Saccharomyces cerevisiae S288C: one gene and its partner. Each later gene encodes a partner of the first gene's protein in a complex. Each region holds a gene or a part of one and is shown on either strand. Other genes may lie near its edges. The genes, in order: MDM35 and UPS1. A codon is read from its position in the direction of its gene.

Region 1 (7,959 bases):
CGCGATACTTACATGCTTTTATTTGGTAACCAAGCTTACAATAAGCTTGCTGTTAACATAGCTCTACAGCACTATTCTGTTAAACAAGAAGAAAAAAAGAAAATATATTTGGGTGGTGGTTTGTGGATGACTCCAGAAGAGGTTAACGCAGTCGCCAAAAAGTTGATATCACCAGTGGTGAACGAAATTGATGAACGAGCCAGCAGACAACGTGATGTTGATAAAGATATTGAGAGAAGGTCAAGAGTTCTTGATCAGGAATATGAGGATGGGAATTCTATGGAACGTGCAAAAGAGCAAAACGACGGGCAATTATTGTTAGCGATGGCTTCAAAACAACAACAGGAGAAAGAAGCTAAAAAGGCCGAGGAGGGACAACGGTATGATCAGTTCGTACAAAAGATGAATATCAAATTACAGCAGAAGGAAAAAGAACTTGAAAATGCTAGGGAAAATCGTGAAAATCTAAGAAACGAACTACAGGAAAGGTTGTCCAAGAACCTGTCAGGAGAGAATGATGAATTGAATGATTGGAACGATGCATGTGAAAGAGATCTCAAAAATTCGAGCATTGAACACTATTATGCCGTCAGATCACACTTTGACAATTTGGGAAATTCGGAAAGAGGGTATGATGAGCTTTTGGAGGAGCGCAGCAAAATACAGGTAGAAATCGAAAGACTTGTCGCTTCCATTGCTGAACATAAAACTGCAATCCATGGTTTTGGGGAAACAGCAGATGCTGGTGGAGCTATACCAGCTGTACAGAAACAGAAAATTCCAACAAGGAAGGACCTTCTTGATGCTACCGTGAATGATCCTTTGGTTATTTCTGCAGAAATGGCAAAAGAAGAAGCAGAAATGGCTACAGAAGAATGTATGTTGAAAGAATTACAGGTAGATGAAATGATTATAATCAGGAACATTATGCTGCGGGAGTGTGAAAAGAAGCTCGAAGAGGAGAAGGAAACGGCTAAGAGGTCTAGAAGGGGCACTGAGGAGTCAAAGAATAATTCTAATTTTTCTCGAGATGTTATCATGAGTACACCTGATAACAATGAAAAAGTGACTCCTATAGGGAAGAGTGCATCTCCAAAAGATGTTGTTAAAAGCCGTTTCCTTTCTACTTATAATACAGGAAAGGATATTGATAGTTCTGCCAGTGCTAGGTCAATCACTGGTGTTAGCGGCGTGTTGGATGATGGGCCTAAAACACCAACCTCCAATAAGGAGAATGAATTAATTGACGATGAAGTGAAGTCATATAAAGTGCACCAAGCAGTAGATGGCACCGGTGAAGATTCCATCGCAAACAAGAGGGATAAATCTTCAAGACCAGCGGCGAACAGTGGAGGCTCCATAACGATAGAACAATTTTTATTTAATAAGAATGCCGATAAACAAGGACTATCCAAAACAGAGTCTGTAACTATGAAGAGGGAGCCTGTGGTGGATCAAATGGACTCAAAAAAGGGGCACGATTTTACCCATTGTAACGACAACGGCCGCCGGTCTTTTAGTGGCTTTTCTCAAGGTTCGATAGAAAATGATTATAGTAATGAAGTTACAGATGATCAAGACGATCAAGAGGGATCGGAGATAAGAGTTCGCGATTCCAACGATTCCAATACCTCTCCTAAGGAAAGTTTTTTCAAAGAGGTTATCTAACTTTCTATCAATCGTTTGATGATAACCGGTGCCGCTACTCGCTGTAATATATACCTTAATGTTGGTTTTGTTATATTTTTTTTCATTACTTTTATTTTTTTTTTATTTTTCTGATTAATATTTATTTATTCTAGGTACATCAAGAGCAGAACAAATTTGCCAACTTAAACTACATATGCTGAACAATATTCTCTTTTTAATTTCTAGCTTTTAACGCAATGACCATTGTGGACAATGCGAAATATGTCAAAAAAAAAAGCAGCCAGAAGAAATTCTTCGGCAAAAGGAAAACTACTATACAGATTGAGAAGCATAGAATTAGGTATTAGTTACATCAGTAACGGGGATAACAAAAATAAAAGGGGGAAATGATGACGATGTTCTTGCAAGTTTTATTAAATTGTGCTTTGGAAAGAAAAAGATGAATATATCTTGCAGGTTAGAGGGTATTTCCTAGTCAAGTCTAGCATATATGAGGTCATACGACTACTTGAATAGATTCGTTGGAAGAGGAATTATTGTAAATATTTGAAGATGCTGTTTCTGTGGCAATCACGCCGGCGTTATCGTCCGAAGGCAAAACGTCTTCACTGTGGTAGAGGCCTAGCGCCTTGTCATACTTGTAATAACCCGAAAATGATTCCACGTGGTTGAAATAGCGGGATTGTCTGTATCTTCCACCTAAATAAAAGTCGGCGGAAAGAATCATAAATATGATACCAAACCAAAATGCTAGCAACCATTCGAAACAAGCACTCTTAGATCTATCATTGATAGCACCAAAACAAATGGCCCATACAACTGCGAGAGTTAACCATATAACTTTTAGAGTTGCACTGATGGTAAATTTATTCCATACATGGCCTTTCCATTTATACCAAGGCAGCTCATCCACAGTGTTATAATCTTGGTTAAAGCTTTTTTCAGATGATTGAGGATTGAAATGAGGGCTGGCTAGGGGGTGGACTGAGGCATAGTGCCTTCCCATGAGGAAATACTCTGCAATCAAGCAGCAAGTGGATAGGAACATGAAGACGACGAAAACAGAGACCATAGCAATGTGAACGCGATGGTACAGGGCGGTTGAGAAGATGGAACTGAATAAAAGGGCTAGTTCACCAATGCTGCCGAGAACAAAAGCTGCGAAAATCAGGTTCCGTTCATCCTTTGTGTAATATGGAGGCATTAAGTATTTACCGCTGTGCAATTTCTCAGCATAAGATGTGGAATCAGAGATAGAAGGGTCTTTTTTTTTCAGTTGGAAAGGCAGATAGCCGGATCTTTGAAAAAACTCAAGGGCAACAGTGATTACATAGCCTAGACCCTGCCAGCCGGCGCACGATATAAACAGTGGCCTTAAATTAGTGGCACCTATATCTGAAATGTACACAGGGAATTGCTCCGAGTGCATGAACCAATATATGGGATGGCCTTGACTGGCCCAGCAAATAAGCATGGCTATCAGCATACCATACCATGGAATGAAGGCAATCCAGGGTACTATGAACAGCCAGTTACCTGGACTTTTAAATTGAATCATGCTATTGCTTGTACCTTCTATGTGTTTTTACTATGTAGCAGAACTTTTTACTATGAATGTTAAAAGTATCTAAAGGAAAAAAAATCCCGCAAAAAATTGTGTCTTATTATTTAGGTTTTTAGTTGTCCAGATGTTAAATCAGTAAATCTCAACTTCAGGGAATAACTATATTTATAAACTGAATGCCCCTAAGAAGGAGTGAAAATTCCGGTTTCATTCTCCTTCGCTTAGATGACAAATCTTCCAGGCTGAAAAAAGTTGCTATTTTTCCAGTTTTTTTTTTTCATCCATTTACTTTACTGCCGCGGATCCTTCAATTGAACAGAGCCCTTAAGCCGCAGAGGGGTAAGAGATCTTCGTTTTTGAACAGCCGTGGAAGATGTTTAGAGTTGGATATGGCTGGCAAGACCGTTGTGTTAGTCTTCATTGATAATCTTGGGCCTTATCCCGTCCTACTTGCACTATTATAGTGGAAATGCGATATGTCCGGTGCGTCATAGAGGAACGGAGGCCCTTGCTTGATTAGTAGCTACTCCGATTAAATGCGGTAGTGCCGCGCGGGTAACAGAACAGCGAGTTTTTCCTGTTTTCTTTTCCGTTCTTTTCCGTTTGTTTCCGTTCTTTTCCGTTTTTTTTTTCCGTTTTTTTGGTTTGTTTTGGTGAGCTGAGGCATCAACAAAATAGATATCTACAGTTTGGGGTGGGAATAGAGCCAGGTTGATCAACGTATGGAAAGAGCAACATAAGGGATTGTTGACACAAAAAATGGATTCTGCAAGCAAAGAGGAAACATTGGAAAAACTTGATCAAGAAATTACAGTGAACCTGCAGAAGATAGACTCTAACTTGAGTTTCTGCTTTCATAAGATCACCCAGGACATCATCCCACACGTGGCTACATATTCAGAAATATGTGAGCGGATCATGGATAGCACCGAATGGCTGGGGACTATGTTTCAAGAGACTGGGCTGGTGAATTTGCAGGCAAATGCAGCTGCACCAGTGGGAAACGCTCCAGTCAAAAGCCTTGTGAGCAATAATGTTGGTATATTTCCTACATCCGCTGAAGAGGCGAGTAGGCAGTCCCAGACAGACAATGGGCCTAACGAGGCAGATTCAGCTGTACATGTCAACCGGGATGTCCATTCTATGTTTAATAACGACAGTATAGATGATTTCCACACAGCGAATATAACATCCACGGGACAGATATTGAAACTTCCGGACTCTAGCGACGAAGATACTGGTTCAGAGGCGGTGCCTTCAAGGGAGCAAACAGACCTTACAGGCGAGGGTCATGGTGGAGCTGATGATGAGCAAGATGAAAGTACAATACAGAGACAAAGCCGCAAAAGAAAGATTTCGCTACTTTTGCAGCAGCAGTACGGGTCTAGTTCCAGCATGGTACCGTCTCCGATTGTGCCCAATAAAATGCGGAAGCAACTGGCTCATGAAGAACATATTAATAACGACGGCGATAACGACGATGAGAACAGCAATAATATAGAGAGCTCGCCTCTGAAGCAGGGGCACCACCACCCGAAGGGACAAGCGGATGATAACAACGAAGGGCCCGATGAAGAAGAGAGTACGAAAGAAGTACCAAAGCCTGGGACCATCATTCATTTTTCTACGAATAGATAGAATAAATAAGTACATACAATTTTTACTAGTGATGAATATCAGAACGCAGGGTAATGGGCCCGCTATATTTTTTCTTCGATATAGGGAGAGCCACATTCAGAATATTCAGAGTATTTGCATGTAGAAATTTATTCTAAGTGCGCCAGATATATGCCGGGAGAGGTCATTAGAAAACATCTGTTTGTGTTTTAACTTGAATTACAATAACAATAATACCAGTTTTATATGGGGAATATAATGTCAGCTAGTTTTGCGCCTGAATGCACTGACCTGAAGACGAAATACGATAGTTGTTTTAATGAATGGTATAGCGAAAAATTCCTGAAGGGAAAATCCGTTGAGAACGAGTGCTCAAAACAATGGTACGCTTATACTACATGTGTCAACGCAGCTCTCGTCAAACAAGGTATTAAGCCTGCTCTAGACGAAGCTAGGGAGGAGGCGCCGTTTGAAAATGGCGGCAAACTAAAAGAAGTTGACAAATGAAGTATATATTTTAGCACAGAATGTGCATTATTCAACATGTAAATACTAATACTGCAATATCGACTTATAATAATGTATAGTGATCCGTATATTAATAGATCTGTTTCAATTCTTTACCTTTTTAGGATATCCGTCACCCGTGATTCCGTCGGAGGTGAGCACTCGCCCAAATAAATAACGGGAAATGGTGGCAAAAAGTAGTGGCGGGAAAAGGAAAAATTTTCGTTCTCTCCCATATAAACGTTTCATTCCTTTTCCTAAGTCTTTTACAGTAATTTCAGAAACATTCGTATTTTATATTTGATCTTTTGAAGCTACAAGAAAAACTCTTACCAATTACCCCAAAAAAATCACCATCATAAAGTACTTACATATTTATTTTTGTTTGGTCGTTTTCTCAATATAATCTACATCATCATATATATATAATGTCTACACAATTTAGGAAGTCTAATCATAATAGTCATAGTAGTAAAAAACTAAATCCTGCGCTAAAGTCCAAAATAGATACGCTTACAGAATTGTTCCCTGACTGGACGAGTGATGATTTAATTGATATAGTTCAAGAATATGATGATTTGGAAACTATAATTGATAAAATTACTTCCGGCGCAGTGACAAGATGGGATGAAGTAAAGAAACCTGCTAAGAAGGAAAAATATGAAAAAAAGGAGCAACAACACTCATATGTCCCTCAACAACATTTGCCAAATCCAGAAGATGATATTACATATAAGAGTTCTAATAATAGCAATTCTTTTACTTCTACAAAGCATAACAGTAGTAACAATTATACTCAAGCCAGAAATAAGAAGAAGGTACAAACACCACGAGCTCATACAACCGGGAAACATGTTAATCTCGACAAGGGGAAGCACGTACCATCCAAGCCTGTTTCAAACACTACATCGTGGGCAGCAGCTGTTTCTGTAGATACTAAACATGACGTTCCTCAAGATTCAAATGATAACAATAATGAAGAATTAGAAGCACAAGGGCAACAAGCGCAGGAGAAAAATCAAGAAAAAGAGCAAGAAGAGCAACAACAGCAGGAAGGGCATAATAACAAAGAAGAACACAAACAAATAGAGCAACCTTCTTTATCTTCAAAGAAAACAACTTCTAGGACATCTGCTTCACAACCAAAGAAAATGTCGTGGGCTGCAATTGCTACACCAAAGCCAAAGGCTGTTAAAAAGACCGAGTCTCCTCTTGAAAACGTTGCTGAATTGAAGAAAGAAATAAGCGATATTAAGAAGGATGACCAAAAGTCTGAAGCTAGTGAAGAAAAAGTTAATGAACAAGAAACATCTGCACAAGAACAAGAGGAGGAGACTGCTGAACCTTCTGAAGAAAATGAAGACAGAGTCCCTGAAGTGGACGGAGAAGAAGTCCAAGAAGAAGCTGAAAAAAAGGAACAAGTAAAAGAAGAGGAACAGACAGCGGAAGAGCTGGAACAAGAACAAGATAATGTTGCTGCTCCAGAAGAAGAAGTTACAGTTGTTGAAGAAAAGGTTGAAATTAGTGCTGTTATTTCAGAGCCTCCAGAAGATCAAGCTAATACTGTACCTCAACCACAACAACAATCCCAACAACCACAGCAACCACAGCAACCACAGCAACCACAGCAACCACAGCAACCACAGCAACAACAACAACCACAGCAACCACAACAACCACAACAACAACTACAACAGCAACAGCAACAGCAACAACAACCAGTACAAGCTCAAGCTCAAGCCCAAGAAGAACAATTATCTCAAAACTACTATACTCAACAACAGCAGCAACAATACGCTCAACAACAGCATCAGTTACAGCAACAGTATTTGTCCCAACAACAACAATATGCTCAGCAACAGCAACAGCATCCACAACCTCAATCACAACAACCTCAATCACAGCAAAGTCCACAAAGTCAAAAACAAGGGAACAACGTGGCTGCCCAACAGTACTACATGTATCAAAACCAATTTCCTGGATATTCTTATCCAGGTATGTTTGATTCACAAGGATACGCTTACGGTCAACAATATCAGCAACTTGCTCAAAACAACGCTCAAACTAGTGGTAATGCTAACCAATATAATTTCCAACAAGGTTATGGTCAAGCAGGCGCGAACACTGCTGCTGCTAATTTGACTAGTGCTGCCGCTGCTGCTGCCGCTTCTCCAGCTACAGCTCACGCCCAACCTCAACAACAACAGCCATACGGTGGCTCATTCATGCCATACTACGCCCACTTTTACCAACAGTCATTCCCATATGGTCAACCTCAATACGGTGTAGCTGGTCAATATCCATACCAGTTACCAAAGAACAATTACAACTATTACCAAACTCAAAACGGTCAGGAACAGCAAAGTCCAAATCAAGGTGTTGCCCAGCATTCTGAAGACTCTCAACAGAAGCAATCACAACAGCAACAGCAACAGCAACCTCAAGGTCAACCCCAACCTGAAGTTCAAATGCAAAATGGCCAACCTGTTAACCCACAACAACAAATGCAGTTCCAACAATACTATCAATTCCAACAACAACAGCAACAAGCTGCTGCCGCTGCCGCTGCTGCTGCCCAACAAGGTGTACCATATGGCTACAACGGTTATGATTACAATTCT
Region 2 (8,385 bases), on another chromosome or scaffold:
CGTCCCATAGTTTCAAAACTTTATTGACACCACCAATGACCATGGTACCCGCTACCTCGATGTCTGGAGCGAATGACGATGTCAATACATTTCCGACATCGAAATCACGAGACAGAACCATGCTTGGGCCCTTAGTGTTCGTAGCATCATCCAAGGGGAATTTCCATAATTTGACAGTCTTTTCACCCATGGCCCCTGTACTCATCATACCAGGGATGAATTTGTTTGAACATAATGTGGAGATACCAGCATCGTGTGCCTTCAATGTCCAAACTGGTTTACGGTTTTCATTGTTTCTAATATCGAAAGAATACACATTACCAGAATCAGTACCACATAATATTATATTTTCACTGGCAAATGTAACAGTTTCTATTTCCTCACCTGCCATGGCAGACCAGTATTTACTCATTTGACTTTCGTCAGAAATTCTAACATCTGTTAAAGCTACTCGAGAATCATAACCACCGGTCAAAAGAATGGAACCATTCAACATGTGCCATTCAGATGATGAAACATTTTTGTTTGAATGAATGGAAGCTAAGGAGCGGGCTGCGTTACCTGAGTTCAAATCCCATAGTTTTACGGTATGATCTGCAGAGGTGGATGCTAAAACGGAACGGAAATATTTGTTGTGTGCCATGGATAAAACAGCATCGGTATGATGAGTAGTAATGTGTCCAGTCTTAGACTTCTTCTTCTTCTTTTTGCTTTTCAAAGACACCATTGAATTATCAAGAGGTTCACCCAGAATCATATCGGGAAAGGCCTTGTCAACACAGTCCAAGTTCCAAATTTCAATTTGTGGATCAAACGTACCAATGGCAGCATAATTGGCTGCTTCTTCGGAATTGGATCCAACCTTGTAGTCAAGCCACTCAACACATAGTGGAAAAGCAGGCAACATTAAATCATGGTGAACGTAAAGTGCAGGGTCACGAACCAATCCACGAGCAACATCTGGGTCAGCTTCATCACCTTCTTCAACGGGAATATCGCTACTGTGGAACCCAGCACCGTCATCGTAAACGTAGATATCCAAATACGAAACGTCATCTTCTGTTCTCGCAGCAAGAACTAAATTATCGGATGGGTAAACTTGTAACTCCTGCTTCTCCTCTTGACTATCCTCTTGATTAGGCAATGAAATATATGGATCTTCACCTTTTTCACCCTCATGGAATTTAACATCGCTATCATTACTTAAACCCGGGAACATGGAAACGTCTTTACCACCCTCATTATCTGCAATTTCCTCATCGTCATATTCTTCCAGGTTATATTCTTTCAAATCATCATCTATATCCAACTGATCCTTCAACTTATTAGAACTACCTGTTGCGGCGTCATCTTCAACACCTGATTCGCCTTCTGCTTCTTCCAAAGTAGCTTTAGCATCATCCAAATTCAACTGTGCTAATTGGTTAATTCTTTCCACTTCCTCATCATCCAGAACATACTTTTCAGGAAATTCCGAGGAAAACCCTCTTGGAACCCAATTAGTAGCAGAAATCATTAGTTATTTTGTTTTTTTTATTCGTCTTCTAAGTTTCCAAATAAGGAAGGCGTAATAGACTCAACTGAGGGTACACTTGCTATCGTTTACAAATTAAAACTCTTTGCTTCTTTCAAACTCATCTCAGCTCATCGAGACAAATTTTTCACTTCTTTTTTTCGAGGGCGAGAAAATTTATTACCCGACTGGATATAATATATATAGAATAATACATATGATCAACTCAAGGTAGGGCCTATGGAAAAGTTTTACAACGGACAAGGCAATTAAATTGAATTGCACGATTCTCTAATTTTTTATTCTTGCAGATTTGTTTCATGATAAATTCGCCAGTTAGAGTTCTTATTATGGGTGGGTAAGAATTCAGTTAACGTTTAAAATTCTCAATATTAATCGCAAAGTGGAAAGCAAAGCAAAGTCTCACTAGAAATTGCAGGCGGACTATGTATAATTACGTAATAGTAGTTCTTGCAACAGAGGATCCTTTCGACTCTTTTGAAAGGATACTGTCATAAAACAATAGGATAAAATAATTTCAGCCGTTGCTCATGATAAAAGTAATTCACTATAATTGAAGATGATATGTGTTGCACGCTTTTTAGAGAATGATCTGTACAATAGCTCTGGTTGTCATAGAGCTTCGGTAGTAAACGTATTTATAGAATGTCAGAAGAGGATAAAGCGAAAAAATTAGAGAATTTATTGAAGTTATTACAGTTGAATAATGACGATACTTCAAAATTCACTCAAGAACAGAAAAAAGCTATGAAAGACCACAAATTCTGGAGAACGCAACCGGTCAAAGATTTCGATGAAAAGGTGGTGGAAGAAGGCCCCATTGATAAGCCAAAGACACCGGAAGATATATCTGACAAGCCACTACCTTTATTGTCTAGCTTCGAATGGTGTAGTATTGATGTGGACAACAAAAAACAGCTTGAAGATGTTTTCGTTCTACTAAATGAAAACTACGTGGAAGACCGCGATGCAGGCTTCAGATTTAACTATACCAAAGAATTCTTCAATTGGGCTTTAAAGAGTCCAGGTTGGAAGAAGGATTGGCATATTGGTGTTCGCGTTAAAGAAACACAGAAATTAGTTGCCTTTATCTCAGCCATACCAGTAACACTTGGTGTTAGAGGTAAACAAGTGCCTAGTGTAGAAATCAATTTCTTGTGCGTTCACAAACAGCTAAGATCGAAGAGATTAACACCTGTTCTAATTAAAGAAATTACGAGACGAGTGAACAAATGTGACATCTGGCATGCATTGTACACGGCAGGTATTGTTTTGCCAGCACCTGTGAGTACGTGTCGTTATACTCATCGTCCCTTGAATTGGAAGAAACTTTATGAAGTAGATTTCACAGGGTTACCAGATGGGCACACAGAGGAGGATATGATTGCTGAGAATGCGTTACCGGCCAAAACAAAGACAGCGGGATTGAGAAAATTAAAGAAGGAAGATATTGACCAAGTTTTTGAGTTGTTCAAAAGATATCAATCCAGGTTCGAACTAATTCAAATTTTCACAAAAGAAGAATTCGAACATAATTTCATTGGTGAAGAATCGTTACCATTGGATAAACAAGTAATTTTCTCATATGTAGTCGAACAGCCCGATGGAAAAATTACAGACTTCTTCTCATTTTACTCATTGCCATTCACAATCCTAAATAACACAAAATATAAGGACCTAGGCATCGGGTACTTGTATTATTATGCCACCGATGCAGATTTCCAATTCAAAGACAGGTTTGATCCAAAAGCTACTAAGGCTTTGAAAACAAGATTGTGTGAATTGATTTATGACGCTTGTATTTTGGCCAAAAACGCTAATATGGATGTTTTTAACGCGTTGACTTCGCAAGATAATACATTGTTCTTGGATGATTTGAAGTTCGGGCCCGGTGACGGGTTCTTGAACTTCTATTTATTTAATTATAGAGCAAAGCCGATTACCGGTGGCTTGAATCCCGACAATAGTAACGACATTAAAAGGCGTAGCAATGTCGGTGTTGTTATGTTGTAGTGGCTGAAAGGACGAGGCGTATATAGTTTTCGTGTACATAGCCGACAGAATTTGACCACATTTAGTTTTTCCGCATAGTCAATTGACGAAGTGAAAAAATAATTAATCCAATGGCTGGCTTTAGAGTGTCAGCCTCCAAAATAAATCCAAAAATAGACAAAGAGAATCACTATAATTACCGCCTTGGAGTCCAAGTTGGCTTGAGAACTCGCATTTATTTTTAGCGACTGAGGTAGCTGAAAAACGCCTACTTTCTCAGAAGGCGGTAGTGAGCATATATAAGTATGTAAGAAAGATCAACTCTTCTGGACTAGATACTCACCGATCTAGTGAAAATATAAACAAACCCAACATATATATAAAATGAAGGCCTGTTCCATATTATTTACCACCTTAATTACTCTAGCCGCTGCTCAAAAAGACTCTGGTTCCTTAGATGGCCAGAACTCTGAAGATAGCTCACAAAAGGAAAGCTCAAACTCTCAAGAGATCACACCTACCACGACAAAGGAAGCCCAAGAAAGCGCATCAACTGTAGTTTCTACCGGAAAAAGCTTAGTACAAACTAGCAACGTCGTCAGCAACACCTATGCTGTGGCTCCAAGTACCACCGTAGTGACGACGGATGCACAAGGCAAAACCACGACACAGTACCTATGGTGGGTGGCCGAAAGCAACTCTGCCGTAAGCACAACTTCAACTGCCTCTGTGCAGCCCACCGGAGAGACGTCAAGCGGAATCACCAACTCCGCATCCTCCTCAACGACATCAACATCAACGGACGGGCCAGTTACTATAGTAACTACCACGAATTCGTTAGGTGAGACTTACACATCTACTGTTTGGTGGCTACCGTCCTCAGCCACAACTGACAACACGGCTTCATCAAGTAAATCATCTTCGGGATCCTCATCAAAACCGGAATCAAGCACCAAGGTAGTAAGCACTATCAAATCAACTTATACCACTACGTCAGGTTCTACAGTAGAGACACTGACCACTACATACAAGTCTACAGTCAACGGTAAGGTAGCGTCCGTAATGTCCAATTCTACCAATGGCGCCTTTGCCGGCACTCACATAGCTTATGGTGCGGGTGCATTCGCCGTTGGTGCCCTTTTGTTATAGAATGTATAATCAGTTCTGTATACCACCACATAGTTCTGCATTTTAATAAAACTCTTTCTTTTTATACACTGTAGGTAACCAATAATATAACTATTGTTATCATCGTGCTTGCGTATTTTTTTTCTTTCGGGTGAAAAACTCCGCAGTATTTCTCGCTCTCCCTGGATAATAAGCTAGAAAAAAAAAATATATATGACAGATGGATGAGTAATCATATTCAATAAGTATTGTCTGGCTTCTGAGACGGCGGTAAGATATCCTTAAGAGTTGCAATGGTCCTTTTACACAAAAGCACACATATATTTCCTACCGATTTTGCCTCTGTTTCACGCGCCTTTTTTAATAGATACCCCAATCCATACTCCCCCCATGTACTATCCATAGACACAATATCAAGGAACGTTGATCAAGAAGGAAATTTGCGCACAACGAGGCTGTTGAAAAAGTCCGGAAAGCTGCCCACATGGGTCAAACCCTTTTTAAGAGGTATAACAGAAACATGGATAATCGAAGTTTCCGTAGTGAACCCCGCTAACTCCACAATGAAAACTTACACTAGGAATCTGGATCACACTGGAATCATGAAGGTTGAAGAATATACTACCTATCAATTTGACAGTGCTACAAGTAGTACGATAGCAGACAGCCGGGTGAAGTTTTCAAGTGGCTTCAATATGGGTATCAAATCTAAGGTAGAGGATTGGTCGCGCACTAAATTTGACGAAAACGTTAAGAAAAGCAGAATGGGCATGGCATTTGTTATCCAAAAACTCGAAGAGGCGAGAAATCCTCAGTTTTGATGTTCCCATTTAAAGATCTTTAAAGATATCACCATGGGCGAGCGAAATTGAGAAAACTAGTGCAGCTCGCATTTGGTCACGTCCTAAAAATTGTAAATAAGCGCTGGTTCAACAAAATTTAATATACACACATATATAATTATTTATTTATAACAGTCATTCTGCTAAACTATACATCAAATGTCACTAATCTTGATATTATGGTCGTCCCTGTATCATATTAGACGAACACACCTGTTTTTGGGCATTTTCCGAATTTTTTTTTCATGCTAGCTAAGTCAGAAGTACTACATTAAAGAATTGAGAACTGACTGCTCCCACCATTCTTGAACTCTCGCTTTAAATTATCTTACTATCTTTTGAGTTCCTTGTAACTATTCTATCCTAACCACCACCTCAAAAAAAAAAAAGTAATAAAAATGTCTTGGGACGACGAAGCTATCAATGGTTCTATGGGTAATGATGACGCCGTTTTGATGGACTCATGGGATGCTGAAATTGGTGATGACGAACCTGTCATGCAATCATGGGATGCAGAAGAGGAAGAAAAGAAGCCTGCCCCAAAGCCAAAAAAAGAACAACCAAAAAAGGTTAAAAAAGGGAAAGAATCCTCCGCTGACAGAGCCCTATTGGATATTGACACATTGGATGAAAAGACACGTAAAGAATTAATCAAAAAGGCTGAAATGGAGTCTGACTTAAACAATGCTGCAGATTTGTTTGCGGGTTTAGGTGTTGCCGAAGAACATCCAAGGGCTCGTGCTTTACAAAAGGAACAAGAGGAACAAGCTCTAAAAAGACCCGCCTTTACCAAGGACACACCTATCGAAACACATCCTTTGTTTAACGCCGAAACAAAGAGAGAGTACCAGGATTTAAGAAAGGCTCTTACTGCTGCTATTACACCAATGAACAAAAAATCTCCGCTGAACTACTCCTCATCGTTAGCGATTGATTTGATTAGAGATGTAGCAAAACCAATGTCCATCGAATCTATAAGACAAACAGTTGCTACTTTGAACGTTTTGATCAAAGATAAGGAAAGAGAGGAGAGGCAAGCTCGTCTGGCCCGTGTTAGAGGTGGTACTGCTACTGGGGGTGCTGGTAAGAAGAAAGTCAAAGGTAAGACCAATTTGGGTGGCGCATTTAAGAAAGATCAAGATTTCGACCTAGATGGCCCCGACGATTTTGAATTCGGTGATGACGACTTTATGTAATCTGCTTATTGTTTCTTTGCTATGATAAACTTGTCCATCTCATTTTGTTGGTGAAAAAAAGCGAAGCCCAGCACCGCAGGCCTTGGATATTGCCATATCACAATTGTCCTGAAATTGTGAATGTCTATATTCCCATATATATATCCATAGGCGTTTCATTCATATAAAAATAAATACGCATATGTGTACGTAGGAGATTGTGTTTTCAAGATGGAGAATATAATGTGTTTTTGCACCGTTATCTGGCTTTTTGTTAAGAAGTACTTCGTCTCGTTTCTGCTGATTCTCCCTGGAATATTTACATTACTTTAGATTTTACTATATATATATGCGAATATATGTGTGCAAATATTGATGCACTAGTGTGTACGCGTTTCATCATCAACATGCTCAATTTTCTTCCGTCTTTTTATGATCTCAATATAGTTATACGGAATGTAGCCAATATTGCCGTTCTTTGTCCTCACTTTCCACCAGTCAGAATCCCTCCCAAGAGGGTCTTTCTTACTCAAAATTGCCATCAAGTCGCCCTTTTTTAAAGCAACTTCCATCTCTGGGTTTTCTGGAACAAAATCATATAACGCTCTTGCAAATTCTAACTTCGAAGGATCAATAGGCTCGCTACCATTTCCTTGCGATGCTCGTATGGTTCCAGAGGTCTGTAGTTTAGTAATAAATTTGTTTAGTAGATATGGAAAACCAAATACTGCCATCAAAAAAAATAGTAGCGGTTTCCATGAAATTTTCCTTCTTGTGGCTTTCTCATTAGAATTTATGGTACCACTATCATTAAACTTTTGAAAATCTTCAATTAGTTTATTTTTGCTTCCTTCAGATTCTGCGAAATTCTTTGGTGGTATTCCTAGTCTCCCCTTAGTAGCACGATAGAGTATTTTTTTAAGAAACTTCATTATAGCAAAGATACCAAAAAATGAACCTAGCATTTCCTTCAAATTACCAAACTGTTCTGCGACGGATATCATGGTGAAAAACGAGTTGTGTGTGGCCATATAAGTAGATTCCAGCATTTGTGCAAATCCAGTAACAGCGCCTATCAAACTTTCTATTAACTGAAAGGTGGCCTTCGTCGACTCACCTAGTCCACTTCCATTATTCATTCCATATCCCGCTCCTGCACCGTACCCTCCTCCATAAAACGATCCATAATTGTTGCCATAGTACGATCCTCCATAGCCATACCTCCCTATGCTGTTTCCGTATATAGAGTTCATACTATACGGATTATTATCATAGGGTATCCCATAATTGCTATTACCGTATATTCCCGGTATTGTATTCGATTCGCCGTAGGTACCAGAGGAGTTAAGTGCCGCAGGCCGCGGCAAAACTTCGGGAGCAGACTCACTTGCACTATTACTGTTATTGCTTTCTTCAGTTGGCCTGGAATCCTGCTGATTCGAGGTCATCATCGCACTTAAAGACTGAGCATTACGCTGTGGCTCCTCTAACGAAGCACTGGTCTCCCAAGGTTTAGGTCGTGGTACTGCTGTGGATGACATCGCAGGTATTGTTATAGTATAGAATCCCCTTGATATTTATAGATAGTATATGCACTTTCGAAATTGTTGTTCATTTCCACATGCGTTTGCTCACCAACTATCTGATATAATTAATATTAGTCCGGCGGGCTTCGGAAATAAAAAAAATTTGGCCCGCTGAAAAAGGTGTCATT

What was found.
Region 2: the proteins of MDM35 (region 1) and UPS1 are in contact, whole or in part, in a crystal structure (PDB 4XHR), measured with the Saccharomyces cerevisiae proteins. Residues at the interface, in NP_012870.1 of Saccharomyces cerevisiae: Ser6 (codon at 5,093), Ala7 (codon at 5,096), Ser8 (codon at 5,099), Phe9 (codon at 5,102), Lys17 (codon at 5,126), Tyr20 (codon at 5,135), Phe24 (codon at 5,147), Asn25 (codon at 5,150), Trp27 (codon at 5,156), Tyr28 (codon at 5,159), Ser29 (codon at 5,162), Phe32 (codon at 5,171), Leu33 (codon at 5,174), Val38 (codon at 5,189), Trp46 (codon at 5,213), Tyr49 (codon at 5,222), Thr50 (codon at 5,225), Val53 (codon at 5,234), Leu57 (codon at 5,246), Gln60 (codon at 5,255), Ile62 (codon at 5,261), Ala65 (codon at 5,270), Leu66 (codon at 5,273), Glu68 (codon at 5,279), Ala69 (codon at 5,282), Arg70 (codon at 5,285), Glu72 (codon at 5,291), Pro74 (codon at 5,297), Phe75 (codon at 5,300); in NP_013294.1 of Saccharomyces cerevisiae: Phe15 (codon at 4,990), Ala16 (codon at 4,993), Ser19 (codon at 5,002), Arg20 (codon at 5,005), Phe23 (codon at 5,014), Asn24 (codon at 5,017), Tyr26 (codon at 5,023), Pro27 (codon at 5,026), Leu35 (codon at 5,050), Ser36 (codon at 5,053), Ile37 (codon at 5,056), Asp38 (codon at 5,059), Thr39 (codon at 5,062), Ile40 (codon at 5,065), Ser41 (codon at 5,068), Arg42 (codon at 5,071), Val44 (codon at 5,077), Gly48 (codon at 5,089), Asn49 (codon at 5,092), Leu50 (codon at 5,095), Arg51 (codon at 5,098), Thr53 (codon at 5,104), Leu55 (codon at 5,110), Trp77 (codon at 5,176), Ile79 (codon at 5,182), Val81 (codon at 5,188), Ser82 (codon at 5,191), Val83 (codon at 5,194), Val84 (codon at 5,197), Pro86 (codon at 5,203).

The regions. Positions count from the first base shown.
Region 1 is NC_001143.9:336,561-344,519, reverse strand, and holds MDM35 (Mdm35p), read left to right. Parts: upstream 1-5,077; coding exon 5,078-5,338; downstream 5,339-7,959. Other genes in the region: LPX2 (Lpx2p), read left to right, coding at 1-1,668; SFK1 (Sfk1p), read right to left, coding at 2,147-3,208; ASK1 (Ask1p), read left to right, coding at 3,974-4,852; DNA damage-responsive RNA polymerase-degradation factor DEF1, read left to right, coding at 5,767-7,959. UniProt on the Saccharomyces cerevisiae protein: Involved in mitochondrial distribution and morphology. Mediates the import of UPS1, UPS2 and UPS3, 3 atypical mitochondrial intermembrane space (IMS) proteins lacking the two major IMS-targeting signals, into the intermembrane space.
Region 2 is NC_001144.5:537,099-545,483, reverse strand, and holds UPS1 (Ups1p), read left to right. Parts: upstream 1-4,947; coding exon 4,948-5,475; downstream 5,476-8,385. Other genes in the region: rRNA-processing protein PWP1, read right to left, coding at 1-1,516; glycylpeptide N-tetradecanoyltransferase NMT1, read left to right, coding at 2,180-3,547; NCW2 (Ncw2p), read left to right, coding at 3,911-4,675; HCR1 (translation initiation factor eIF3 core subunit j), read left to right, coding at 5,895-6,692; peroxin PEX13, read right to left, coding at 7,052-8,212. UniProt on the Saccharomyces cerevisiae protein: Required for maintenance of normal mitochondrial morphology. Required for PCP1-dependent processing of MGM1.